Linked DNA regions of Notamacropus eugenii. The protein of the gene in region 1 purifies or fractionates together with the protein of each later gene. This does not show direct contact. Links are inferred from orthologs where the notes say so. Each region holds a gene or a part of one and is shown in the gene's direction. Other genes may lie near its edges. The genes, in order: COX5A and COA3.

Region 1 (7,669 bases):
TTTTTTTATTTTTTTTTAATGTTTAACAATCACTGCCATACAATTGCGATTTTATCCCTCCCCACCCACCCCCCACTACCTCCCTCCCTCCCCACGACTGCATACAATTCTGTATAGATTCTACATATACTTTCCTATTGAGTATATTTTCACTATAGTGATGCTATGTAGTCAGACTAAGATAAATGAAAGAATCCGTATTACAAATCAGAACATGATACACAGATACACATACACAAACATGATCTGCTACATTATGTGAGTGACTTCCATATTTCTCTCTCTGAGTGTGGAAGGTATTTTGCCTTGAGGTCCACCATTGGGATTTTTTTTTTTTTCAGAAGTTCTTGTGTTATTACAAAAATCTGAGTCTACCAGAAAAAACTCTCACACACTGTGGTTGTTGCTGTGCATAAAGTTCTCCTGGTTCTGCTCCTTTCACTCAGCATCAGGTCATATAAGTCCTTCCAGGCCTCTCTGAAGTCTTCTTTATAACAGTATTTTTCAGATATCTTCAGACTTCTAAAAAACAATCACCCCATATCATTTAAATGCAGCATAGATAGTCTATTTCACATTTTGAGTGTGTTCCAAATAGTCCCAGTAAATCTTATTGTTTTCAAATTATGCTTTCTATTAGCATTTCTAGCTTTCCAGTATCTGCAGTCTTGTTTACCAAACCCAAATGAACTCTGACAAACTGGAGAACACACATTTGAATATTTAAGATGACCATTAACCAGAGGAAATAGTCATGCCATGTTTCTACTTTGTGATTGCTTTCATTCATAAATCCATCACAACATTCCAGACAAAGATCTAACCTCCTAATGTTATTAATGCTTCAAATTCTTGGTATCATTCTTAATATTAGCAGCACTTCTATATAATATTTTCCCAAAATGATAATGCAGGACACTTATAAAGACAGCACTAACTTAAAACAATCTTAAGAATTTATAAACAAAGACAAAACAAAACATTGCCAATCTAATAATATTAATGTAGTTGGCTGGATCACCAAATTATCAACACAGAAAAAAAAAATCCCATGAATCTGTCTTCCAATTTGTTTCTTCTCTGCTGAATGCATTCAGAGGCCAGTACAGAGTAGTTACCGTTTTGAATCTCTGTAATGTTAATGGAATTTAAGATCTTCCCCACCCATTAACAGGCTTCACTTGGAACCCATTAAGGGAAGATTGCTTAGGGGAGGTTTACTTTTGGGAAGGCTTTCACACCATTTGCTAATTTCTAATTAGGCATTGAGTCAGGAGGGTTGCAAAGCCTTCTGGCTCTGAGAAAGTTGTGTAAATACTCTGAGGTAAGGTTTTGCTTTAGGGACTTGCTTATGAGAAGGATCTTGTGATTCCCTGGTTGAGTCCCAGAGCAGCCTTCTGTCCAGAGCCCCCTCCCCCCCACACTACTCAAATGTAAAGGTTCTCTCCATCCAGGGATATATGTAAAGTGTATAACAATATTGCTTTGATTCGCACTGTAGAACCCTGTCTATTGGTCTTTATTTCTCTGCTTATATTTTCTCTGAAGTTCAGAATGCTGACTTTTCCCCTGAACTAATGAATGTAATTTTAAAAAGATTGTTGACTCCTTAAATAACTATCTTTCCTAGTAAAGTAGATCCAAGAACCTGTGCTAGCAGGTCATTCTGGGTATGCTAGAGTGCTTGTTGTTACAATCTCATAGTTACAAAAGATATGGCACTAAAAATTACTGTCCAAAGAATAGATCAATTATGCAATGAATGATAATTATCCCCATCTACCTCTCAGGGTTGTTGTGAGAATCAAGTGAAATAATAATAGCTGTAAAGTGCTTTGCTTACTAGTACTAGTACTAATGCTGCTGTTGCTACCAGAATAAAGGGACCTTCAGCCTGATGTACTAGATATTACTTGAAGCATCATTCATTTGAAGTCAGAAAGACCTACATTCACTCCCAGCCTCCAAAGTATAATACAGGCTAGCAAGTCATTTAGCCTCAGTGCCCCAGGCAACTCTCTAAGACTATAAACTACAAAGAGATTGCTAAAATGCATCAGGGAAAGGAATTTCAGGCTGAGGGTTTCACCACACCAAGGTAATCATAGATCTGAACTACAACAATAACAAAAAGTAGTTCAGACACCTCCTTTATGAAGCCTTCCTTGATTCACCCCATTATAAATGCTTTTTCTCCATCTGAATCTCTCATGTCACTCTCTTTGGACCTTTTCTATTAATATGTTATTGCTTGTATTCTAATTATCTGTGTATTGGTCATTTCCCCCTACTAGACTGCAAGTTCTCTGAAGGCAAAGGATCGGACTAGGGACTATCTTTGAGGTTTCAATCACTAACACAGCAAATCTTACACATAGTGGATGTTTGATAAATATTTAATTGAGGTTGAGAAGTGTACTGACTGGTTTTAGTCATGTTGGGTTTGTAACTGACAGCTAAAGCAGATGGAGCTGTCCAGCAGGTAAAGGGCCGGGAGAACAACAGTACTGGAGCTTGGTCTGGGAGAGTGGTCTGGAAGTTGTAGATTTGCTAGTCAGTTGTATAGATAATAATGGCCAACATTTATATAACAGCTCTCCAAAGGCTACAAAGCAATTTACCTACCATATCTCATTTGATTCTCAGAATAATTCTGTGAGGTAGGTACAATGGCTGTTACAATTCCTGGAAAACTGAGGACCAAAGAACACACATATGTGGTAGTGTCCATATTTGAACTTAGGTTTTCAGATTTCTGTCTTCCAGAGTCCTGTAGATACCCTACATGTCAGTGGAGACCACAGGCATAGAAAAATTGACAAAGGAAGGGTAAGGAAAAAAGAGTAGAGAAGGGTCCAGGATAGAAAGTACACCCATGTGTACTTTTGTGTTTGTCCTTCATTTTCAAAAAGGACCATGACATCAGGGAAATGATGAGGTGACTTGCAGTTGACTTTGATTTGAGTGAGGATTGTGCAAGGTCAGCAGTGTCACTTTCTCCTCCAGTCATCTGGATCCAGTGACCAGGGAAGACTCTCAGGGTTGCTGCTCCCAAGAGAAACAATTACCACTGACATTAACTGTAAGCCAGGAGGGCCCAAAATATAGCCTTTAAGTGGAGCTTGGGCAGGGACCTATTGTGGTCCAATCTATGTGCTTCAGAGTGAGCTGGGTTAAGGTTTTTTGAAGAGAGGAAGGAACGAAGGAAGGAAAGACTGACCTAGCCAGTAAACTCCAAGTTAACTGGGAAGCATCTGGAAATCAAAATTTATCTTCCTTTGGAGAGGAGAAAGAGAGGGAGAGAACAAACCGAGTTACCCAGCTAGCTGGGTCCCCATTCAGACAGTTTGGTCAACTCACAGGTTGTGTTTGTCCTTCGTTTTCAAAGAGGACCATGACATCAGGGAAGAAGACAGGACAGGCAGAGGAGGGCAGGAGAGTGTGGTGTATTGACAAAAAAGGGATGAGGGATTCTGTCGTTTTTTAACCCCTGTGGCAGAAGGAGATGGTTAGCAGGGTCAAATATTGTAGGGGGGTCATGGAGTGTGATTCTAACAAGATCCCTGAACATGGTGATTATGCAGTCACCAGAGATCTTTGGGAGGCGAGCAATTCCATGGAATTCAAAGGACAGAAGCTAAGCTACCTGGAGATCATGTCATTGATTAAATAATGAAGAAAGTGCTTTCAGAGGTATATAAATCCAATTAACATTTATTAAGCGCCTACACCATTCCGGCCACCAGGTCCGGCTGAAGATATAAAGACAAAGAAAGAAGCAAAAATATCCCCGGCTCAAAGACTTTACATTACATTCTCCTGGGATTTATTAACATTACTATAGCAATTCTTCACTGAAATGTCCTCTCTGTAGGAAAGCCCTCCACTGACTTGGAGTCTGCGAGCCTTTCCAGCCGGGCAGAACCCCCAGCCTTCGCGGTCCTCACCTAGAGGCCCCAGCTGCCTGTAAAGCACTGGTCCAGAGCCCTCTCCTCCACCCTGTGACCTTCCACTTGGCGTGCTCTGGGCCAATTGCCTCTTTCCAGTAGAAGGTTAATAAGCCCCTGACACGATGCTTGGCACACAGTATTAAGTCTAGTCCAATTCCCTTGGCCTTCCTCACTTTGCAGACGAGAAAGCCGAGACCCAGAGAAGGGAGGTGAGTTGACCAAAATCACTGATGCCTGTCTAGCTGGGGTAACCCCGGCAGACCCGGGATGAGGACTTTAATTGGAGCGCCGGGTGTAACACGACTCAACCACGTGGGGGCGCGGCGAGGCTGGTTGGCCGCCGCTAAGTCAGGGGGCGTGGCCCCGTGCGCGCGCTCCGGGCTGCCGGGAGGTTCTCAGCGTAGACTGAGCCAATCAAGGAACTGCCATAGAGTGTGCGATGCTAGAACCAACCTGGCGAGAGTCCCAGCGGCCTGGATATAGGCCTTCGCTCCCGCGATCGGAGCGAGGGCGCCGCCTGGCGGCCTCTTCTTTTCCTCTCCCTTTGGGGAATACGCCTTCCTCTCGTTTCCCTTCCCTCCTCCTGCTCGCCCTCTGGCCGCCCTCGTTCCAAGATGGCCGCGGCCAGTCACGAGGTTCAGCTGAGCGGGATGTGGTTTGTCCTCCCAGCGCCGCCATAGCCCCGCCCCTTCCCTGCCCCCTCCTCGGCGGCCTCGTGGCGTCCGCAGCCACTTGCCCCCAGAGCGCGCGCGCACGCGCGCCGCTGGCGCTGACTCGCGCCCACGCCCGCCCGCCCGCCCCGTCGGTTCCCCTTGGGCGAGCTCGGTGCCAGCCTCCCCCACGCGCATGCGCCGCGCACCCGCTCGCGCTCCTCAGCCTGTGTCCTGAGCAGTCGGCAGGCAGTCCGTGACTCGGTCAGTCCCGTCGCCCTCACCCGCTGTCACCATGCTGGCCGCCGCTCTCCGCCGCTGCTCTGCCTCGGTGCGGGTCTTGCTACCCAAGCCGGGGGCTGCGGCCCCTTCCTCCTGGTCGTCCTCCGCCTCTCCCGCCACCGCCGGTAAGCACCCGGCCCGCGCGGCCCGGCGTCCTTGCGGTGACCCGAGCCGCGGCCTAGCGTGACCGCCGCCGGCCAGGCTCGCCCGGGGGCGACTCCAGGGCCCCGGCTCCCCGGTCTGCTCTTTCCCGAAGCTGGGCTCCTCGAGCAGGGGCGCGGGCCCGGGCGGGCCTGGCAACCCGGCCCCTAAGGCGCGCCCTAGGCGAAGGTGACATTGAACGTCCGGGCGCCCGTGGGGTGGGGCGGAAGGGCCACTGGCGCCGCCCGGCCTCCAGGAGCACCTAGGGCTGACCCCGGTGACCCTGGGCCCGGGGCTCTCCGTGGGAGCCAGGGTCCGCGGCGCGTAGGAGCCTGGCTGTCCCGGCCCAAAGACGGAACCCTGCGGCGTTCAAGCCTCCGGGGGCCCCGTCCTCAGCCGGAACGGGGTGGGGGGGGGGGGGTGTCCCAGCGGGGTCGAGAACTGGGAGGAGATGAAGTTGTTTTCACCGACCTCTGACAGTGAAATGTAGCTTTTTTTTCCGTGGTGGAGTTGTAGTTTTTAAAGCGTTTGAGAAGGGGATGCAGGAGTTAGCACACCGCCGAAAGGGGCACACAAAGCCCAAGCGGCGCGGGTCCAAAATGACTTCAGAAGCACCCCGGGGAGTGCAAGGTAGTAGCGAGAGCCCCATTGTGCGGGAGACCGACGGGGTGGCGCTTGGAAATGCCCCTGCGATCTTACAAAGCCTCGGGTACGCACAGGTCCTTTGCTCGTGATACTAAGGGAGAAGGAAGGCAGCGTGCAGGAGTGCGCAAACACCCAGTGGCCTGGGGTCAGCAAAACCAGGACTGTTATCACGGGCTAGGAAGCCCTTTGTGCTCTCTGAGCATCTCCTTTGGCCGGGTGATCTCTGAGGTGCCTGCTAGCTGCAGAGCTGGGATTCAGCAGTCAGCCTTTATTATGCGCGCAGGTTCCGAGATGGGGACGGGGGATACAAGTACAATGCCACAGTCTCCTTGCAAGGAGCTTACATTCTAATAGGAAGACGGGTACCTAGACTAGAGAGTGTGCTGTGTGCATGCACTGCATATGGTAGGTTTTTGTTGAGTCACCTTTGATTCGTCCTGACCCCATAGACCGTACTGTCCGTGGTGTTTTGTGGCACAGGTACTGGAGTGGTTGCTGATTCCTTTTTCAGTAGACTAAGGCAAACAGGTTAAGTGATTTACCCAGGATCACATAGCTAGTAAGCGTCCGAGGCTAGATTTGAACCAGGTCTTCCAGACTTCAAGCCCAGTCCTCTATCCACTGGTCCACCTCGTTGCCCACAGCCGTGCTAAATACAGCAGATGCAGAACAAATACAGATACATAGGAAGTGGTTAAATTTAAGGTCTCCACAAAGGAAGGGCGCTAGCATTGGGATCAGCAAAGGATTCATGCAGCTAAAAGAAAGAGAGGAACTCTGAGAACCGGACAGCGAGTAACCCAAGGCCTGGAGAAATAGATAAAGTGTCTGAGGAACCAAGAAAAGACCACTTAGGGTGATCCTAAGAAATATGCTGTGTACAGGATCATGCTCTGCCGTGACTGGGACATTTTTAGTTTATGTTGAGAAATCTGACTAGGGTGTAATATACTCTGCTAATTCCCTTTTATTATCTTGTTACTCTTGTATCTGTTCTAGGAAGGCTTTATGGTAATGGCACTTTAATCCTAGAATCCCTGATGGTAACATGTTACAATTTGGAATTAAGCACTTAAGGTTGTGAATTTAAATACTGAAATCTGTAACACCATTCTTCCTGGGAAGCTCTAGTCTTTTTGGGGAATCTAAAGTTTGGCTTGTCAATCTCTGGAAATTTTAATTCCTCCTATTTATCTTAACGGTGTGTAAATTAGTATAGATCAGTGATTCTCGATCATTTGAGTTTCTGTATCTTATTTGTCCAGTTTTGTGATTCCCTACCCAAAGTGCCATGTTGATATATCTAGAGAGCATTTTTATTTTTAGAAAAAATTTAAATTTGGAAGTATGTCTTATAACACCAGTTGGAAAAGATTATCCTAGTGTCAGAAAAGAGAGTTTGGAAATCCTTCATCTTTATAATGGAAATTAATTGTATGTTTATACCATTGCATCATTCCTCTAGCCATTTTTTAGTTCTGTGTTTTTCAGTTTGGGGACTTTTGGGTTGAAAGCATTTTTTAATTGCATCTTGTTTTCCATTCTTTGGGGAAGCTCCTTCTTCCTATCTGCCCCCCCCCCCAAAAAAACCCATTTGCATTTAATATTCAGTGAAAAGAGAATATTATAAAAAATGTATTTTCCTACATGGAATTTACTTTTAAAATAGGAATGTGCAATTTAATTCTACATGATGGAGTTAAGAAACTGGGGGAAGAGGCCCTGAAAATTAAGAATATTAAAATAACTTCTAAATCTGGCAAGAAAATTGAACCAGCCAGATTTTAAGGTCCTTTTCTATCTTAATGTTCTCTGATTCTGTGTCTTCCTTCAGAGGATCTAGCCAAATGAGTAAGCTCTTAGGTTCGTGTTTATAGGGTTTTAAAGCATTTTATAAACACTAATGATCATAATAAGATTTTATTTTGTATAATTCAGCGTTTTACAGACCTTCATTTTGGACAAGTACTGCTGATAGTTACTTTTCACAAAATTTATACT
Region 2 (6,704 bases), on another chromosome or scaffold:
TCCCTTTAATTGACTGGGGAATGCCTTTTATTAAATGAATCTTGATAACAATGCCACTTAGCAGTGCATACCTGGCACCACCACTCCTGATTCTGGATGAAAGCACTGGCCGCAATGATCCCAACTGCCAAAAGCATGAAATCTTCTTTCACTGATACAAATTTTCCCCTGAGCAATTAAAATCACAGTTCAGTTTCATAACTAAGGTGAGAACCTTGTTTGCCTAAGTTTTGGGGTCATCCTTGATGTTATTTGATTATGCTGAGTATGGAGAGAAATTGTAGAACCAGCTGACTATCCCATAGGTAGCTTCCTCCCAACTAAAAACAAAACGGAACTTAAGGACAATATACAAGCCTCATTCATGTGTATTTGATTTACTAGTCTTTTGTGTTCCCATCTGTTATCCTAACAACATAATTGTGGGGCTTTCTCTCATCTGCCTTTACAGTAATCAGGCAATTTTGTCAAAGTTGCAGCCTTATGACTGACTTGTTTTGTCTGTTTTGTTTCTGAAAACATTACAACTTATGATCAAGAATCAATGATAGGAGGGATAATAGGAGATGTTAATGACTTGAATTCATTTAAATATTTTAAGACTTTAAGTCTTTTGGGTTTTGGTTGGGCTGAACTTGCTACATCAGAACAGTAAGTGCAAGTTCATAAATAACAAGCTCATGAGAATGAATACAACAATTATCTCTACCAAAGTGAGGGGACAAACTAGTTGGCCCTACTAGATCTGATCGACTCCTCAGGTCATTGTCAGAACACTGCTCCCAGTATTTGTAAGTCTATAAGAGGTGCCTTACCTCTGCTCCACAGGTGTAAAGTTCTCAATTGATGCCCTCAGCAGGCTTTCATAGATGGGTTCATGCAGGAGATAGACCAAGTCAAGTAATGTCAGGCAGGTTCCATGCAGCTGTTTGGCTGAGACCAAACAGCCATTATACCCTGGATGGGGGCATGGAGAGAGGTGACGTCACTACCTTTGTTTCTCCATCAAAGAAAATAATTGACGAAAGATATAGTCAGATTCCTCATAAATCAGGATAGTTCATTTCAAAGGTCATGTCACATTAGGTGACATTACTCTCCCTCTTCATCAGATTGCCCAGAGCCCTGGGGCACATTGCCTCTGGTAGAGGAGTCTCAAGATACACTTGGCATTTCATGGCTACTGTGTTTGCCTCATTTCCACTGAGATATCTTTTGAATGAGATACCTAAAACTTCTAGAAGCATCTCCACATATGCCAGAGGAGTGGGTAGATTGATTTGGAAGTTTAAAGACTTCAGAATAGCAAGTTCTGACTCCAGTAGTTCTTCTTTAGTATAAAGGTACCCTAGGGCCTGGAGGAAATTCAGGACCGTAACATTGCTGACTATCTGAGTAAAGAAAAGAGGGGGAGGGGACAGAGAAAAAGATTCTTTAATAAATTGGGGTTTTTGTCACAAAGATTGGGGTGAGGGGGAGTGAAACAAGCATAATACCATAGATGTAGAGCTGGAAAAATCTCATTTTACAGATGAAGAAACAAGTTCAGAATTCAAAGGTAGCAACAAGAGGTGGAATTTTAAACTCAGCTCTTCCAATTCCAAATCCAGTGCCCAGGGATATATATTTTCCCTTTTGTAAATCTAACCTTTAATGATGATTAAAGTATGTTGACTATTCAGGCACCTTATGCAAACTGTCCTTGAGTCCAAAGGGGAGGAAAGGTGACCTGTATATCTATATAATGATGGCATTAATCCAGCTATTGTGCTTTGAGAACAAGAATGCAGGTTGTAACAGCTGTGTGTGTTTAGTAGGAGTGCTTAGGAAATGTAATTGCACTCTGGAGTTTCTAAACGGGTAGAATCATCCAGCCGAGGGGTAGGTCTCTCAGAGCTGCCCTGTGGACAGCCTCTTTTATTCATAATATCAAGCTGTCCACAAAAGGCCAGATTTTAGAGCACAGTATGGTGAAGGTGGAAATTGCAAGACCAATTCCTTACTTTGTAATGGAAGGAAAGTTTGCTTGCCAGCTGAACACATGACACAAGTCGAAGTACAAATGTATTGCAGAGCTCTTCTTTCCGGGTCCTCCAGCTCCAGGGCTCTGCTTTCTCACTCCCTCTCACCACAGGTGCTGCTTGGCTGCAAATGCTTTCTGCTTGCTTAACCATGAACCTACAGGAGTGGGGGGAGGTCAGGAGTAAACAATCTGGACTTCAACACATTCCAGAGGGAGCATTTGTTCTTCAAACTCTGCTACATCTTAGCCTCTCCAATATCAATTTAAGACTTGGTTACGCTTGCAAGTAAAGGAGATCAAGACCAAGGTAAGAGGTGACTGGTACCATTTGAACAGGAGCAAGCACATTAGTTAATCAGAGAGCTACTTATTTGCCAAGGCCTTATGCCTGGGACTTTACCTTTCTAGGATTTCTACTGCTTGGTAGCTCACGGATTTTTCCAGGCGCCATTGTTCAGACAGGAGAAAAACGAATTCTGCCAAAATAAAAAAGAAAAGCCTGAATCACAAGATGCAACCCTAACCATTCTGAACTCTTGGTGTTGTGTAAAAAACCATGATTCAACCCAAGAAAGAGGGATCAGGAGGTGAGAAAGATGAGACTAGAATAACTAAAACAGAGCCTAATTTCTTTTGCTGCCAAGAATCTGATCAGAGCCAAAAAGGGAAGTCTGATTGAGTGCCAAGAACAAGGGCTTACCAAGCTCCTTGGTGACTTACTCCAGAAGGGTTCAACAGATAAGAGCTTTTACCTGGTACCAAAACACATTACCCCCCTTTCCTGCCCTCTAACTACATGCTCATGTTCCTGACTTCAGAGAGGTTCTTGAATAGATGAAAAATCCTAATTCCTATGAAGTTTAATATGAAACATAAAAATATGGTCCTGGAAGTTGATGACACTTCTCTGCTTAGAGGAGTTAAATCTTCCTCTGGAAGATGTGTATGTGTATCTTACCACCACCATGTACTTTAAAGTGAGCATGATTCCTCTGGTCTGTTAAATGGGACTATAGTGGCTAGATTTCTTCCCCACCAAGTTTTTTGTTTTTGTTTTTTGTTGCAGGGTTGTTAAATAGGCAGATTTTGAAAACACTAGGAAGGTGGGAAGAATCAGCTCTAACTGCCTCCAATGTTTCCCTTTGAAAAAATAGTCCCAGTTGGAATTGTTTTCCTTCAATATTTCCCTTTGAAAGATAGTCTCAGTTGGAATTGTTTGGCTTGCAGTTCCATTATAGGGTGGGAACCAGGGTAAATCTCAGTTCTGAGCAGAGGAACTTTCCAAGACCCCTGGGTTTTACATAAAACACCATCAGCGGCACTGCAGATGGTCAGATGTGGCAGCCAAACCCCGCCTCTTTACTGAAACTTAAATGTCTTTTGGTGAATCTACGATCCTCTGGACCCATGTGGCATATAAACACACCTATGTAAACTATCCATGCAGGGGAACAGAAAGCCCCCACCCCACACACAACTCTGCTGACAAAATGAAACACTAAGCTAATTCATGTTTGCTTGTATCCCCAGTGCTTAGCCCAATGCCTGGCACATGGCAGACACTTAATAAACGCATCTTGACTTGACCTTGGTAATTCAGACATTAGGTCCAGATAACTTAAGCCAAAATAAAATTCTAGGGTTACTTCTTGTTTGCTTTGGGGCCTGAATGATGAGGGCAATGGCTTCAGCTTTCCTCTGATTTGCCAGGGGAAGCTGGGGGTGGGGGTAGGGTGGGCGAGGACACTGGGGGGAGGGCGCTTTGGGTGTCCCTGGGGCAGGACAGATCCCATCCCCTCCAAGTCCTGGGCCCACACACCCACGATCCGGGTCTCCCTGAAGCTGCCCGTCTGCCCCCGGGCTTCCCGCACTGCCCTCTCGTTCTCCTGGGCCAGGTGGAGCAGGGCGTCTTCGATCGTCTGTGTGTCCACAGCGCCAAACTTGAAGTCGCTGAGGGAGGCCGACCCCCTTGGCCCTACAGCCCCAGCCATTGTTAGCTGACCCTCCCGACGACGCCAAACTTCCACACCGCCTCGAAACTTCGCGGTCTGTGCGCAGCCTCGTGCTCCCAACGGTTTTTCTAGGTCTGAAACGCAGAGCTCAAGGGTGCCGCGGGAGCTTCGGCCAATCAGAGGGCTCGCCCAGGACGCCCCGCCCCCTCCTCTGCCTCTCTCCCCCTTCCGAAGGAATGGCCAATCAGACTACAAGTACCAGGATCCTTAGTGGCGGCGGCGACGACCGAGAGGTTCCCTTCCTTCCTGGCGTGCGCCGTGGCTCTGACCCGCTCTGGAGTAGGTCGAGGAGTGAGATGGCTGATGCTAGTGCCGGATCCGAGGCCGGAAAGGCCCCGGTAGCGCAGCGCATTGATCCTGCGCGAGAGAAACTGAGCCCGGCCCAGCTGCACTTCATGCGGCAGGTGGAGCTCTCCCAGTGGCAGAAAACGCTTCCGCAGCGGCGGGGCCGGAACATCGTGACCGGCCTGAGCATCGGGGCCTTGGTGTTGGCCATTTGTATCTGTGGGTCACGGAGGCTAGGGGAGGGGGAGGAGGAGGGGAAACGAGGCTGGGGGGAGGGAAAAGAGGAGGAGGGAGAGGGGCACGGCGGGGGTGGCGAGGGGGGGATGGGGGGAGGGGGTGGCGGGAGATCCTAGGCCTCGGTCAGAAAAGAAACTGACGCCTAGTGAGAGGCGGTGTTTGCCCAAGGTCACCGCGCTAGTCAGTAACACAGCCGTGGCTAATGATGAGTTAACAAGTATTACCTAATTTAAGAATAGCAGTAACTAACATTTAGAGAGCGCCTACTGTGTGCCAAGCACGTTTTACAAAGGAGGTGCCGCTCTTACCCCCATTTCACAGATGAGGGAACTGAGACAAACAGTTTTGGGTGCCCAGGATCACGCGGCTAGTATCTGCCGGTGAATGGAATTCCCGGTCTCCTGGAGACCCAGGTCTTCCTGAGGCCACACCTCTATATCCTCCGTGCCAAGTAGGGGTCTTAGATTCTTCAGCTCCCAGGTGTAGCATTCTGCACTCAGGGAACACATAGCTTCCGGTGCTGGACTTTTGGTTTCCACCGACTAGGGACTCCTGATGGTGAAACTCTACCAATGCAGGTCTGCCCCTTCTTTGCAACTTACAGAGAGCCCTGGGAGAGGCGTGACTTACAGAGACAAGCCTTGAGCCCATATCTTGTTGGCTTTGAGGCTGACCTGCTATCCATTAGGCGCTGCTGGGAGCCATTGTGGGGGCTGCGGGTCTGGGGTGGGGGTGCAGCTGCTGTTTGAGATTCCAGGATGGTGTGGAGGCAGAAAAGCATAGACCACTGGAGGTAGGGGTGGGGAGCTGGAGGAAAGAAAGTTAGGAGAGTGCTCCAGTTTCCTCATGGTTTTCCTGAGCCGGTGACCCCCAGATGGGTATACATTCTACTCAGTGTCGCAGGAGCGGTTCCTAGATGATTTGGAAGACAAGGCCAAAGCTGCTAGAGTGAAATCTGCTGGGGCCAACAGCCCCTGAACCCCAAGTGGGTGCTCACGCTGTCTCCACCCTGGATGGAACTTGTTCAGAATAAGGATGGATGCCTCCACCTTCTGTACTTCCCCTCCCCTGCAAGAAAAGACTCCTACTGGGATAAGGCCAACCTGACCTTGGGATGTTGTTTTGTTATGGAGTTCCACCCTACTTTGGGAATTGTGTATCCAGCCAATTTGATGGGAACACCTGTTCCTTCTCCCCCCCACCAAAACAAAAGAAATTGAGCCTTTGTCACAACAGGGAGGAGGCACAACCAGATCACCCCCAGCTTTTTCGGGAGCATTTTATTCATGTCTTCATAGCTTCTTCCTACTGTAGAGATTTAAAGCCATTGTTGGGGGGCAAGTTTAGTATCTCTTCTCTTTGCTGAAACCTGATAGGGCAATGTTGGTGGTCAAGCTGAGAGCTGATTCACAATAAAGTGAATCATCTGTTCTAGAGCCATGTGAATCTATTTGGGGGATGGGAGTGGAAAGCTCTGCCAGCTATGGCAATTGTGTTGCCCTAAGGAAATGTGAATGTTTAACTAGAATGGCTTTTCCTGCGATCTTTCCACCGGATTAGCAGGTAAGGATCGTGGCACTCACTGGACTGTGTGAGGCTAAACTATCCTTCATGTACAAATATCTCATCTCCAGTTTCCCTCCATTGCCTGGGGCCTTCACAATAGCCTTTACAGGAGGGGTGAATGGGGGTCATCCAGCCCTCATGATTTCAGAGCTTGCCTGTGCAAGCCCAGGGTGGGGTTTGGAGGAGAGGTTAGATTGGTGGAGTTGATCATTGACCTTGAAATTAAGCTGCTGATGGCTTGATGCCAGGAGGCTGAGTGTCCTCCACCTCTGCTCCCCATTGTGAGAGATCTTTTAATCCTACCCCTGCCTCCCCCACCAGGCTGGGCCCTTCCACCCACCCTCTATTCCCTGCAGGGCTGACAGAGCAACAGACTCATTTCCAATAATTTTATTGGCTTTTGTACAAGTCTGACAGCAAGCCCAGCCTTCAGCTTTGGGGGGTGGAGTGAGGAGTGATTGGAGAGGGAAGTTGTCCACAAGCAGCTTTGTGTAGTTTTAGTGGTTGGTGCTTGGAAGCCCCAGGGCTCACACTCCACACTGCAGGAGTCTCTCCATCTGCTCTTTTTTAATAGTAATAAT

What was found.
Region 2: the proteins of COX5A (region 1) and COA3 purify together in Homo sapiens (affinity purification with western blotting; 3 studies listed by BioGRID and IntAct, with this or other methods). This does not show direct contact. The link is inferred for Notamacropus eugenii from reciprocal best matches to the Homo sapiens genes COX5A and COA3.

What each region holds. Positions count from the first base shown.
Region 1 is NC_092872.1:241,100,304-241,107,972, forward strand, and holds the start of COX5A (cytochrome c oxidase subunit 5A, mitochondrial), read left to right. Parts: upstream 1-4,630; 5' UTR 4,631-4,895; coding exon 4,896-5,007; intron 5,008-7,669. UniProt on the Homo sapiens protein: Component of the cytochrome c oxidase, the last enzyme in the mitochondrial electron transport chain which drives oxidative phosphorylation.
Region 2 is NC_092873.1:359,329,508-359,336,211, reverse strand, and holds COA3 (cytochrome c oxidase assembly factor 3 homolog, mitochondrial), read left to right. Parts: upstream 1-4,136; 5' UTR 4,137-4,211; coding exon 4,212-4,533; intron 4,534-5,431; coding exon 5,432-5,535; 3' UTR 5,536-5,993; downstream 5,994-6,704. Other genes in the region: CNTD1 (cyclin N-terminal domain-containing protein 1), read right to left, coding at 72-168, 816-957, 1,229-1,391, 2,004-2,178, 2,424-2,499, 3,843-4,014. UniProt on the Homo sapiens protein: Core component of the MITRAC (mitochondrial translation regulation assembly intermediate of cytochrome c oxidase complex) complex, that regulates cytochrome c oxidase assembly.